Neurospora crassa OR74A: one gene and its partner. Each later gene encodes a partner of the first gene's protein in a complex. Links are inferred from orthologs where the notes say so. Each region holds a gene or a part of one and is shown on either strand. Other genes may lie near its edges.

Evidence for each region. Proteins that work in one complex are often made in the same cells at the same time.
Region 2: NCU05423 (region 1) and NCU01580 share a complex: the UniProt entries of both Schizosaccharomyces pombe proteins name them as parts of the 7-subunit TFIIH core complex. The link is inferred for Neurospora crassa OR74A from reciprocal best matches to the Schizosaccharomyces pombe genes tfb1 and tfb4.

The regions. Positions count from the first base shown.
Region 1 is NC_026502.1:1,591,199-1,597,206, reverse strand, and holds NCU05423 (hypothetical protein), read left to right. Parts: upstream 1-3,180; 5' UTR 3,181-3,580; coding exon 3,581-5,572; 3' UTR 5,573-5,886; downstream 5,887-6,008. Other genes in the region: tca-7 (2-oxoglutarate dehydrogenase E1 component), read right to left, coding at 1-1,601. UniProt on the Schizosaccharomyces pombe protein: Component of the general transcription and DNA repair factor IIH (TFIIH) core complex, which is involved in general and transcription-coupled nucleotide excision repair (NER) of damaged DNA and, when complexed to TFIIK, in RNA transcription by RNA polymerase II.
Region 2 is NC_026502.1:3,028,856-3,034,511, reverse strand, and holds NCU01580 (transcription factor TFIIH subunit Tfb4), read left to right. Parts: upstream 1-2,018; 5' UTR 2,019-2,337; coding exon 2,338-3,657; 3' UTR 3,658-4,019; downstream 4,020-5,656. Other genes in the region: NCU01581 (hypothetical protein), read right to left, coding at 4,020-5,314, 5,569-5,656. UniProt on the Schizosaccharomyces pombe protein: Component of the general transcription and DNA repair factor IIH (TFIIH) core complex, which is involved in general and transcription-coupled nucleotide excision repair (NER) of damaged DNA and, when complexed to TFIIK, in RNA transcription by RNA polymerase II.

The DNA.
Region 1 (6,008 bases):
GAGAGCTGGACGCGCTTGCCCGAGGGGGTAGGGCGCTCGAAGTTCATACCCAAGTGGTACTTGACATCACCGGAACCCTCCTCATCGGCACCGGCCATGCCGGCGAATTCGGAAAAGATGGCCTCGTTGGGCTTGCGGACGACGTTGGAGAGGACGTTGAGACGGCCACGATGGGGCATACCAATGACGATGTCCTTGACGCCGTAGTCAACGGAGCGGTCGATGAGGGCCTTCATACCAGGAACAAGGGTCTCGCAACCCTCGAGACCGAAACGCTTGTCGTTGGGGTACTTGGTGGCGAGGAAGGACTCGAAGCTGGAGGACCAGATGAGGCGGTCGAGAATGCGGCGCTTCTCATCGATCGAGTACTTGAAAGGCTGGGGGATCTCGAGACGCTCACGGAGCCAGTCGCACTTCTCCCTGTCGGGGATGTGGATGAACTCGACACCATAGGAGCCGCAGTAGATCTTCTCGCAGGCGTCGATGATCTCGCGGAGCGTCATCTTCTCGCGGCCATCGCGGGCGAAACGGGGGAGGATGCCGGGGCCGAGGCTGTACTCGGTGTCGAGATCCTTCTCGGTGAAGCCGTAGTATTCGGGGGTGAGCTCCTTGGGCCTGATGTTGCCGAAGCCCTTGGAGGCAGGAGTGTTGCGGATGCCCAGAGGGTCAATGTTGGCCTTGTGGTGACCACGGGCCTGGTAGGCGCGGACGAGGAGCTGGACCTTCAAGTGGTTGGTGACGTTGGCACCCTCGCCAATGCCGACGCCGGCGCCGGCAGCGAGACCGGGCACCACGTTGGCGGCACCGGGAACCAGGCTGGGAGGAGGCTGGAAGGCCTGGGAGATGGGCATGTTGCCGCTCTCCATGTTCTTGAAGTAGACCTGCCACGAGACGTGGACGCTCTTGGGGTCCTGCTTCCACTGGAGGTACATCTCGTCGATATAGTTGGCGGCGCTGCCCGAGAGGAAGTTGTCGTTGGGGTCGGGCGGGCTGTGGAGGGCGCTCTCATGGCGCCTCTGCTGGGAGACGGCCAGGGGACGGCGGCCAACGGCGGGCTTGAGGGAGGCCCTGGTGGTCTGGGCGACCTGGGAATAGCATCGTTTTGAGGCGCCTGCGGTCTGCAGGGCCCGGATGGAACCGCGCAACATGATGGGTGGCTGTTGTGAGGTGAGGGTATTAGGACGCAGAAACCGAAAGCGCAATCCAAGCAGCGGGGTTTTGTTTTGTGTGTACAATCTGGAAGAGGGGAGATTTGGGGGGGGGGGATGCGCAAAAGGCAAAAGGAGCGGCGGAGTAAGTCTAGGTCTCGGTCGTCGTCGTCGACTCTTGAGGGGGGGAATGGGGAGAGAGGGGGAGAGAAGACGAGAGGATCGAGATTTGGAGGGGAGGGGGACGACAGACGTTGGTGTTTTTGATGTTTCGTTGGTGTCGGGGGAAGGGGCGGCGGGAATGCAGCGACGGAAAAAAAGGGCCTCACTCTGCCCGCCGTGCAGGTGCGTCGAGTTGCTCCGTCCACTCACTGGAGTCGGGCGGTCGGTCGACCTGTCGGTGCAAACTGCAAGAGCGAGCGAGTGCTGCCGTCCAGCTGTGCTGCTGTGCATGCCTGCTGACTCCCGTTCTGCCCGCCCTGTGGAATTGACAGAACTAACGAACTGAATTGAGTGGACTGAAGTAGCTCGTACAGTGAGCATCAAGGCATCTGCACGGCTCTGTGGAGGGGACGATGACGGCACTTGCTGAAGCACAAGTGAGGCTCCCTCCCCCTCGGCTCCCGCCGTTGCGCCGCTACAAGCGCACTCAGTGCAGTGCGCCCTGGATGCTTCTCTTGGCCATAGCTTTAACATTGTGGAGCCGGCGAAACTGGGTGGAGCTACCCAGCTTCTCGCACTGGGAACAAATACATCGAAGACGCCCGGGACCCAACAAACTTGAAGGGGACATCAATGTGAGATTCTCTCGGTACCTCCATAGCCGCAAACTCGCCTACCTTCAGTTATTTACTGCTCAGTCTGCTACATACCCATACGTAGTAGCGTACACAATGGAATACACGAAGAGATATCATATCCATCATCTACTCGAATCCGTCCTCCCTCTTGTTGTTTGTCCAAAAGTCACGACGGAGTTCACGGTTCGAGCGGTGACCACGGTAACAGCAAGCATAACCGGAAGTCGTGGAGTTTCTGTGGTTTCAAGGAGGGGGACGGGAGCTGTGTCTCCATGACAAGTCATCGGGCACGCAGCAAACTGGGAAAGTGTGGAAGAGCTGGAAGTTACGGTCTGGAGAGTGCTACTGTAATTATTTCATTACGCATTGGCTCCCGCACCTCCCGTCGAGACTGGAGTTGGAGGCTCCGAGACCTGACCCGAGTCCCTTTTCCCCGGAAATCACGGTTCCCGTCTTTTTGGACCAAGTATCCAATCTTACCGTGGAAAGTGGGGAAAACTTCCATGTCCGAGGTGGAAATGTACGGTAACGCTTTCGGTCCCATCTTTGAGCGCGAACTTTTCGAAGCTTTCGCTTGGGGCATCGAACTGATGGAACTGCGCTAGACATGGTCTGGTCGGTATCCTGGGTTATGGGTTTGGGTTCAATTAGCTACTTGGCACTGACCGCCTTGTGACTTGCCGTAGTATCATGTGACTTTTGCAAAAGTCATTTATCAAATCCATTTTGTCAAAGAAGAGACAAGCGAACCGAGTCTAGATCTCGTCTCGATCTCGTCTCGAGTGGTTTATCGAAATGACTTTGAGGTTTGGCTGTTGGTTTCGATTGTGTAATTCACTACAAAATCCTGCATCGTCAGCTGCCACCTTCAACTTCTTCTTCATTATTGAGCCAGTTGCAGCATTGACTGCACGTCACAGTGTTAAATCCCCCAACTCTCATTGGCTGGCCGTGACTGGTTCGCTGCAGTGCAGTTGCTGTTGTCCAAGCTCTGCGCTGGCTTCAGATCCTTGGCATTTCCCACCCACGGCACCTGCAGCAGTTCGTCGCCCAGAGCTCAGGTCCTGTGGTGGCCAGAGATCCGACCTGGGTGGACAGCTGCCGTGACACTGTCTGTCGGTTCAAAGTGGAACCTTCCCGAGCTGAAACCTGAAGTTCAAGTTCTTTACACTAGTTGAACAGCCCCAGGGCGACCATGGAATTGTTAGTAGTCGTGCTCCACTGCAGCCTCAGCTGCCGCCTGCCTGCCTGCCACGCATAAACTACCTACTACACTATGTAAACTCACCACCCACTCACCATCCCGCAACGACATCCGCAGCAGCCAATGCCTCACCCCGGATTCAAGACTGACGGGACCTGGATTAGATTTGCTTGGCGTTACTACACTACATCACCACGTCCATCATCGTCTAATGCCGTGTACCTTGACGACTCTCCCGTCTCTCTTCGATATCAGTAAGGCGTAGTACACGAGCACGCTGTGACATACGTATCGCGTTAATACATCCTTGTCAAGGAACACATTGCGAGGCTGGTCCGTCTTTATAACATCAAAAGATTGGGAACTGGGCATTGAGCGTGGACTTGAGATATTCAACGGGCGGTTAGGGAGAGGACTACCTAGCCAACATGGCCCCGATTGAGATTCCCCGGGGACAGGCCTCTTACAAAAAAAGAGAGGGCATCATCACATTAACCCCAGACAAGACAGCCCTGATATGGAGCCCCTTGCCGGGCACTGGCCCACCCGTCATCTCACTTTCCGTATCCAACATCACAAACCTCCAACAGACCCCCAAGACGAATCCCAAGGTCGTCTTGAGAGTCGTCGAGAAACCCAAGGCGCCCGGAGCCGATCCGGCTGCCTATCCCTTCCAGTTCACACATGCCACCGAGGCCAGGAATGAGGCCGATGCCATCAAGGATCTTCTCTCTCAGATCATTGCTGAGCTTCGTGGCGATGACCCTTCTCTACCCAAGCCGGCAAAGTCTGGCCCCAACGGCGCCGGCGCCTCTGCCGCCATGGCCATGGCCAGTGCCGTGAACTCGAAGCATTTGCCGTTTCGCTGGTTCGAAGACGACATGCTAAAGGCCGATGTAGAACTTCAGCAGTCCCTCATGAAGAAGGATAAGGCCTTGGCCCATATATATAACGACGCAAAGCTGTCCAAGCCAGATTCATTATCAGATGCCTCCTTCAACAGCCAGTTCTGGGCCACCCGCATCAGCCTGCTACGTGCCTATGCCATCGAGCTGAACCAGAAGAAGGGCTCATATAACGTCCTATCAACCATCAAGCCCCGGACCGAGAACGGCGAGCTCAAGTTGAACATCAACCATGAGCAGGTCCAGCTCATCTTCCAACAACACCCACTGGTCAAGCGCATCTACAACGAGAACGTCCCCAAGCTCACAGAGTCCGAGTTCTGGTCCCGCTTCTTTCTCAGCCGTCTCTCCAAGAAGCTCCGCGGCGAGCGCATCACCGACAATGACAACACCGACCCCTTATTCGACAAGTATCTCGAAGCCGACAACACCATGGCAGTCCCAGCCAAGATCACCGCCACGAGTGTGCCCCCCATCATCAACATCGAAGGCAACGAAGAAAACCAAGGTGGCTTCAGGGGTGGCAACCTCAAAGACGTCGAGATGCGTCCGCGCGCCAACATCCCCATCATCAAAACGCTCAATTCGCTCTCCGAGAAAATCATGGCCAACGTCGCCCCCACAGACGTCGACCCCTCCGCCGCCTCCTACTCCAAAGACGGCATCGCCGACGCCCTATCCAAACAACTCGCCCTGCAAGACCTCCGTGGCGACGCCGAGGCCCAGCTGATCCGGCTTTCCGTCAAGGACACCTCCACCTTCTTCACAGGCAACCAGCCCTCGCTCACCGACCAAGAAGCCGCCGACGCGCGCCTCTACGCCACCCAAGTCCCCTCGGACGTGCTCTTCGAAGTGCAAGCGGACATGGACACTCTCGACTCGGACGGGCGCGGCGGCATCGATCTCCACCGGTCCATCGGGGTCGATCCCGACTCTGACGACGAGGGTAATAACTCTCTGGACTCTAAAAGCGGACCCAAGCCCCAACACGTCGGCTCCCGCGCTGCGCTACGGTTCGCCCAGAACCAGATCCTCGAGAGCATGAAGTCCGCTCGGTCGCACCTCACCACCACCACCACCCACGGTGGCTCGCACACCACCACCACCAATGCGTCCGAAGAACGACCCATGTCGTTGCCGACGGACATTGCCCACCGCGCTACGCTAACCTGCGCTACGACCGCCGAGTTCCTGAAACAGTTCTGGACGGTGTTTAATAACTCCAGCAACAGCAGCCCAGAAAAGCAGCAAGAATTGGCCTACCTGGCCGACTCGCTCGTGCGCTCGAAACAGAGAATCGAGGCGCTGGCTGACGAAGCGGAGAAGAGGAGACAGGAGATTATGGAGAAGCGGAAAAGGGAGATTAGAGAGTATTATCAAAAGACAGGCCGCAAGGCGAAGTGGGTTCCCGTTGGAGGGGGCAGGGATGCGGTGTGGGCGGCTTTTGAGGGCGTGGTGGGCGGGTTGGAGAGGGCTGTGGCGGTTTGGGAGATGGTTAAAAGTGGGAGGATCTGAAGATATGAGGAAAGACAGTGGCAGAGGTGCGTTGTTAGGGGATGGATGTTGTGCTGTGCTGTGTGGAAACGGGAGGAAGATGGGGAGGATGACTTTCATGAGAGGAGAAGTGATAGAGGAGGATGACATTTGGGAGCGTTGCCATGAACGAGAAAAAGTTTCAAGTATATATAGAGGACAGAAATGGCCCACAAGACAGTAAGGCTGGGATAATTTGGGTTAGGAGAAGGAGAAACAGACTGACTATAGTCACATTAGGAATTATGGCTGAAGACCAATGATGAAAAAAAGCATTAAGAAATTTTCAAGAAAGCAAACTGGTTCTGGACTGATGTGTGATATCTAAAACCAGACTCTTAACACTTTCCAAAACGAAGGTTCCGGTATTCTCAGATTACATCATGTAGATAAAGTTGGAAAGAAAAGGGGGATCTCT
Region 2 (5,656 bases), about 1.4 Mb from region 1:
GCGTCCTCGTTGGTGTAACATCGAAATGGTGGTTTGGTCTCGGGCAGTCGTCTTGGTGATTCTGGAGGAAAAGCACAGCTTGAAGTGGTCCGTGGGCTTCCCCAAGGGTTCTGACGAACTCTCGCTAGGGCAGGTATGGTGCGGTGTCAAGATTCGAGTGGAGGAACACTGCTCGTGGTCGACTCGACTGCTCTTGCAAATCTTTTGGAAAAAAGTGCAAGATTGAACGTTGAACTGCAGTGGCAGTTGCACCTTCGCATTGTCCATCCCATCGTCTACCCCACATAAACGACATCATCTAATTTCCCCCCTAGTCATGATAATCCCTCCACCACCCACCGGGCCGCCGTTATCACATTGTCACGCACACTTCCCCCCGGCATATGGGCACATATCCCCAGCTTCCTGAGCCAACCTCGCATCCGCTCCCTGCCTCGGAGCCCCGCCATCTCACTCTGCCACGTAAGTAGGTAGTACTAATCTTCTGCTTCCCCTTCACGCCCACGCACAGATTTCCAACGGCCGTGATCCACACCGAATTCGAACTTGACGCACCCTTGGCCCGCCACGTGATATCCCCCCCGGTGCGCCGACCCCTGGCTGTCGTCCGTGATGTAGATGAGTGCAACTCGCTGACCGGGGAAAGACAGGATTCCTCGGGGATCCACCACGGACGTGGTCGGCGCGGTAACTGAGATCGACCGCGCGGATATAGGTGGATGCGCGGTTGTCGAACTATTGTTTCTAGGAAAAGCAGTAGGGTTCAGAGACTTCACATCACAGGGTTCGTATGTTTGTGCCGAGCCTCCATTAACGCCGGTCCAGGGGTGACTCCATCGAGCTTCGGCACCGCGGCACCGTCATGTTGGACTATTGATTTATAGTTTCCTCCGGTGCGTCGGCATCTTGCTCGAGATGACCACCGGGAAGACTGTTTGTCATATTGCCGTTACTGGTCGAAACAAGCCAGCGTCCACTTTGTCCATAGAGAGACGACCGCATGAGTTCCACCTGGGCTCGGCATATTCATGAAGAACTAAGTTGCCGTCGTTCTGGAAGGTAAATTATTGTCTCGGAAGACAAGTTCGCTTTTCTGTTCTTTGATCTGGAAGAGCTACCGGGGTTATAATGTCGCCGGCCTTGAAAGATTCCTGTGTCTACTATGTATGAGTGAAGGGTGTTATAAGATCGGGAACTTGAACAACTTACCATAGGGGAATATTCGGTGGTGGTTACAGTGCTAGAGGTAGATAATCGGGAGTAATCAAGGCAGTTACATATTGCGAGAGCATGGAAAGAACAATGTCTTAAATTGAGCTTCAGTTTTGTCTATTCCTTACCTACCTGGCTGCCCCTTCCTTAGATACTTGTACTTCTCTTCCTCAAAACCTCACAATACCTATCGATGATAGTCTTGGCCATAGGCTTCCAACGTAAAGCTGTCGTCACCGGGGTAACCCCTAAGCCAATAAGAGCCCGACTACAGACCAAGGACACCTTGAATTGCACAGCCGGTGACTTTAAGCCACTCTCGGTTGACAGTCTTGCGCCATCCTTCTAAAGGAGATCCTCGTACGATATGTGAATAAACCGAAAAGGGAACATGTGATGGTGTGGATGGATCAAAGGAAAAAGATGACCTCGCTGTTGGTGTCAAAAGTTATGCACGCTTGCGTGTTCATCACCCGGCTGTTTTGGTGGTAATGCTGGGGTCGTTGAACTAGAATCGGACACAGCAGGAAGAGAAGAATAAGATGAGAGATGAAGGACATGTTCGGATGAAGGTGATATCATTGTACATAGAGGAGCTAGGATATCTTGACCAATAGGAAAGCGAGAACTGGACTACATCTGTATGTTTAACTGCATGTTAGTGCTCTAACTGCATATCTTTTGACCACTAAGGAAAATGCCGGCAATCTGCCTTATCGGGTATCACGTGGTAGCGTGTGCACTTGGACCAGGATCCTTTGGCCTTCACTTGGATCGCGTTTCGCTTGCAACCCCGAAATCGTTATCGCATTTCTCCGTTACGTTATCGCATCTGCAGTGTTCTCGACGAGAAGGTCTTCTTGGGCGCGTCAATCCTATTCAGCAGACATAACCAATCCAGACAACAACTATAACGAATATCACACAACAGAGCGCCCGCTTAGCTATCCTGCCATCTCTCGATCCAGCATCCAGACAAGCTCCCTACGAGCACCGGCGCACTGAGTATCGCGGCGACAAAAGGCCTACGTCATGTACACCAACTGGCTTCGATCCACGATATAGCTCTACAACACACACAACCTTGAAGCGAGTTGAGGCTGTCCCTGCCAGATCATCGTCAAGATGACGGTCCAGGACGCCGTCGACGCCTCCGAACACTACGAAATCTACAACACCGATGATATCCCCTCCCTTTATACCATAATCATCGACACCAACCCACGCGCCTGGGCCGCCCTGAACGATGTCCTCCCACTCACGAAAGCGCTCGCCAACATTCTAATATTTGTCAACTCCCACTTAGCCTTCAATAACTCCAACCAAGTAGCTCTCATAGCATCACACACGAACCGGGCAGTATGGCTCTACCCAACAGCACCCGACCAGAACCCCGGCCGACACCCGCAAAATCCAAACGAAGACATCGAAATGCGCGACGCCTCCTTCACAAGTAAACAACAATCTCCACCGCCCGCAAACAAATACCCCCTCTTCGCCCAAATCGAGCGCTCCCTCCTCTCCTCCCTGCGATCTCTCATAACCGACACCACAACCGAGGACATCACCTCTACAACCACCACCCAGATTTCCGGCGCCTTGACCCTCGCCCTCGCGCACATCAACAAAACCGCCCTCCTCTTCGCCCCCTCCAACTCCGCCACCGGCCCAACCCCCTCCTCCGCAGGCGGCAAGTCCTCCGTCTCCACAACCTCCGGCGCCGGCCCAGGCGGCGGCAACGCAGCCTCCCTCCCTGGCATCGGCGGTGGCGGCCTGGCAGGCCTGCACGCCCGCATCCTGGTGGTCAGCGTAAGCGACAGCTCCCCCTCGCAGTACATCCCTACCATGAATGCTGTGTTCGCGGCGGCGCACGCGCGCATTGCCATCGACACGCTGGCGCTGCGGGGTAGTGCAACGTTCTTGCAGCAGGCGAGCTATATTACGCGCGGCACGTTTATACGGGCGCAGGAGCCGAGGGGACTATTGCAGTACTTGATGTTTGGGTTTGGAAGCGGGAGCGCGCCACAGGGGTTGGCGGCGGCAGGGAACCAGCGGTCTCAGCAGCAGCATGGGGGACATAAGGGGAAAGAGGACAAGGCGAGCGAGAAGGCCCTTGGCGCCGCGGCCAAGGGAGGGGCCAAGCATGGAGGCCAGAAGTTTCTGGGGAGTAATGCTAGCGTGGCGGATCTGTTGGTCACCCCTAGTGCGGACTCGGTGGATTTCCGGGCGGCGTGTTTCTGTCATCGGAACGTGATTGATACGGGGTTTGTGTGCAGTATCTGCTTGAGCATTTTTTGCGAGGTGCCCGAGGGTGGGGAGTGTTTGACATGCGGCACCAAGTTAGCGTTGGGGAATTACGGGAGGAAGTTACCTGTGCTGCCTTCAAAGGCTGCTGCTCCTCCTGGAGGGGGGCAGGCGAATGGGAAAGGGACGATGCTGAAATAAGTCTTCAGCGAGGTATGGAATAGAGTGAAGAGGTAACTGATGGTGGATGATTCTTTTGTCCTGGGCCGGGGAACCAGGCAGTCAAGAGGCTGATTAGAGACTAGGGAGTGGTAAAGCCCACAAGATTGCTCGTGGGATGTCTACCGAAAGCGGACAAAAGGCTTGGAAAACTACATATACACATAGAGTCTGACATGCAGTGCTAATACCCATAAAACAGCTTTTATTGCGAATATCACTTTACTGGACATGGATTCCCACTATAGGATTCAGCCATCGATACCTGTTATTGGGGACATGTCTAGTCATTATCCATCGTTACATCATGCTCCCCCGACTCGCGTTCAACGTCCACCGTCCATTCATAACTCATCATCAGACTCAGTCTCACTCCCCTCATCTACTACAGCAGCAGGCTGAGACGCTCTCGTAGCCGTCGCCCCGGCCCTCTTAGTATGGGAAATGGGCGTTAGCGTCTCCTTTCCCTTTCCCTTTCCTACAACAGAAGCCGTCGTCTTTTTCTGAGGGGTTGTCGTCGCTGTCGAGGATGCCGCAGCCGTGCGTTGTCGTCTAGCAGGCGGCGGTGAAGGAGGCGGCGGCACATCAAGATCCTTGTCCCCTGCTTCTACAGTCCCATCATCCTCCTCATCGGGCTCACTGGCTGTTTCGTCATCGTCGTCGCGGTCTGGGGTGTTGCGGTCAGATGTCTTATTGAGGACCTCATCTTCGTCCTCGTCGTTATCAGTGACGTCCTCGTGATCGAGGGTTTTGCTAGAAGATGATTGTCCCATGGTGGTCGTCTTTGATGATGGTTCCGGCTCTGATTCTGGCTCAGGTTCCGGCTCGTCGACATCCATCTTTTCGAATTTTGCGTGGTCGTTGTCGTCGTCTCCATCATCGTCTGATGATGGTACGTCCTTTGCAGCCTTTCGTTTTCCTGGTCTGGAGACACGGGCGGTTCTTGTGTTTGTCCTTGCTTTCGCTGATCCTGTTCCGCGTCCTCTTCCTCCTCCTCCTCCTCCTATCCTGCCGATCTTGGCACCACTCTCTTCTTCCTCATTCTCCTCATTTTCATCCTCATCCAATTGACTTTCCGGTACGTTAACTCCGGACTTACTCCTCGCACTCTCAATTACCCCCAACAACCTCTCTCGCGAACCTGACCTTGGCCTTGCTCTACTGCTCAAAGCTTGCTGCTGCTGACGAATCTTGGCCTTCTTCTCATTCAGTAGCGCCCTGAACTTCTGCAACAGCTCGGTCTCCTGCTCAACCTTGGACTGCGTGAGTTCCTCCAACTGCTTCTTCAGGTCAGCCACACGGGCCTCGAGATCCGCGACCTGCGCGGCGGAGGTGGACAGGGAAGTGAGTGCGGTTTGACGGGAGATGGCGAGTTGCGAACACCAGTCGAAGAGCTGGATCTCGGAGGAAGGGGAGTGAAGGAGGGTTAGGGCACCAAGCCGTTGGTTGATGCCCGCTACGCGGCGACGGATGGTGATGGTGATGGACTTTTTCTTGCCCCGGGTTTCTACTTCGGCGCCGGCTTCGATGCCTTCTACTGGCGAGGCGGTTATGAAGAGGGAGGATAGGATGGATTGCCATTCTGTGGGGGAGCAGGCGGAGCTGCTGGCGCGGAGGTCGTTAATGTGGTCATGTTTTACTGCGGGTGTATGTGTTAGTTAGTCGACGGGCCCGGATCATGTAAATTCCCCTTGACTAAGGTTTGTTTCTTTACAAGTGTCACTACAACAGATGGCACGCATCACGGCTTGGTGGTGATTGCTTGAGGTGATGCACCGACATGAGCATAGCAGGGTAAATGCCCCTGCATAATTCCATGCCGCGGAGATCATCGGTGCACAAAGGCCTCGGAATAAAGCAGCAAAAATAACGACAAGATTCCGGGGGACTTACGCGTGAGCGCATACGGTTCTTCACCCTCCGTAGCAATAATTTTGAGATTCAGCGGTTTCGATCCCCTCGCGGATGACCCTCCCGAGTG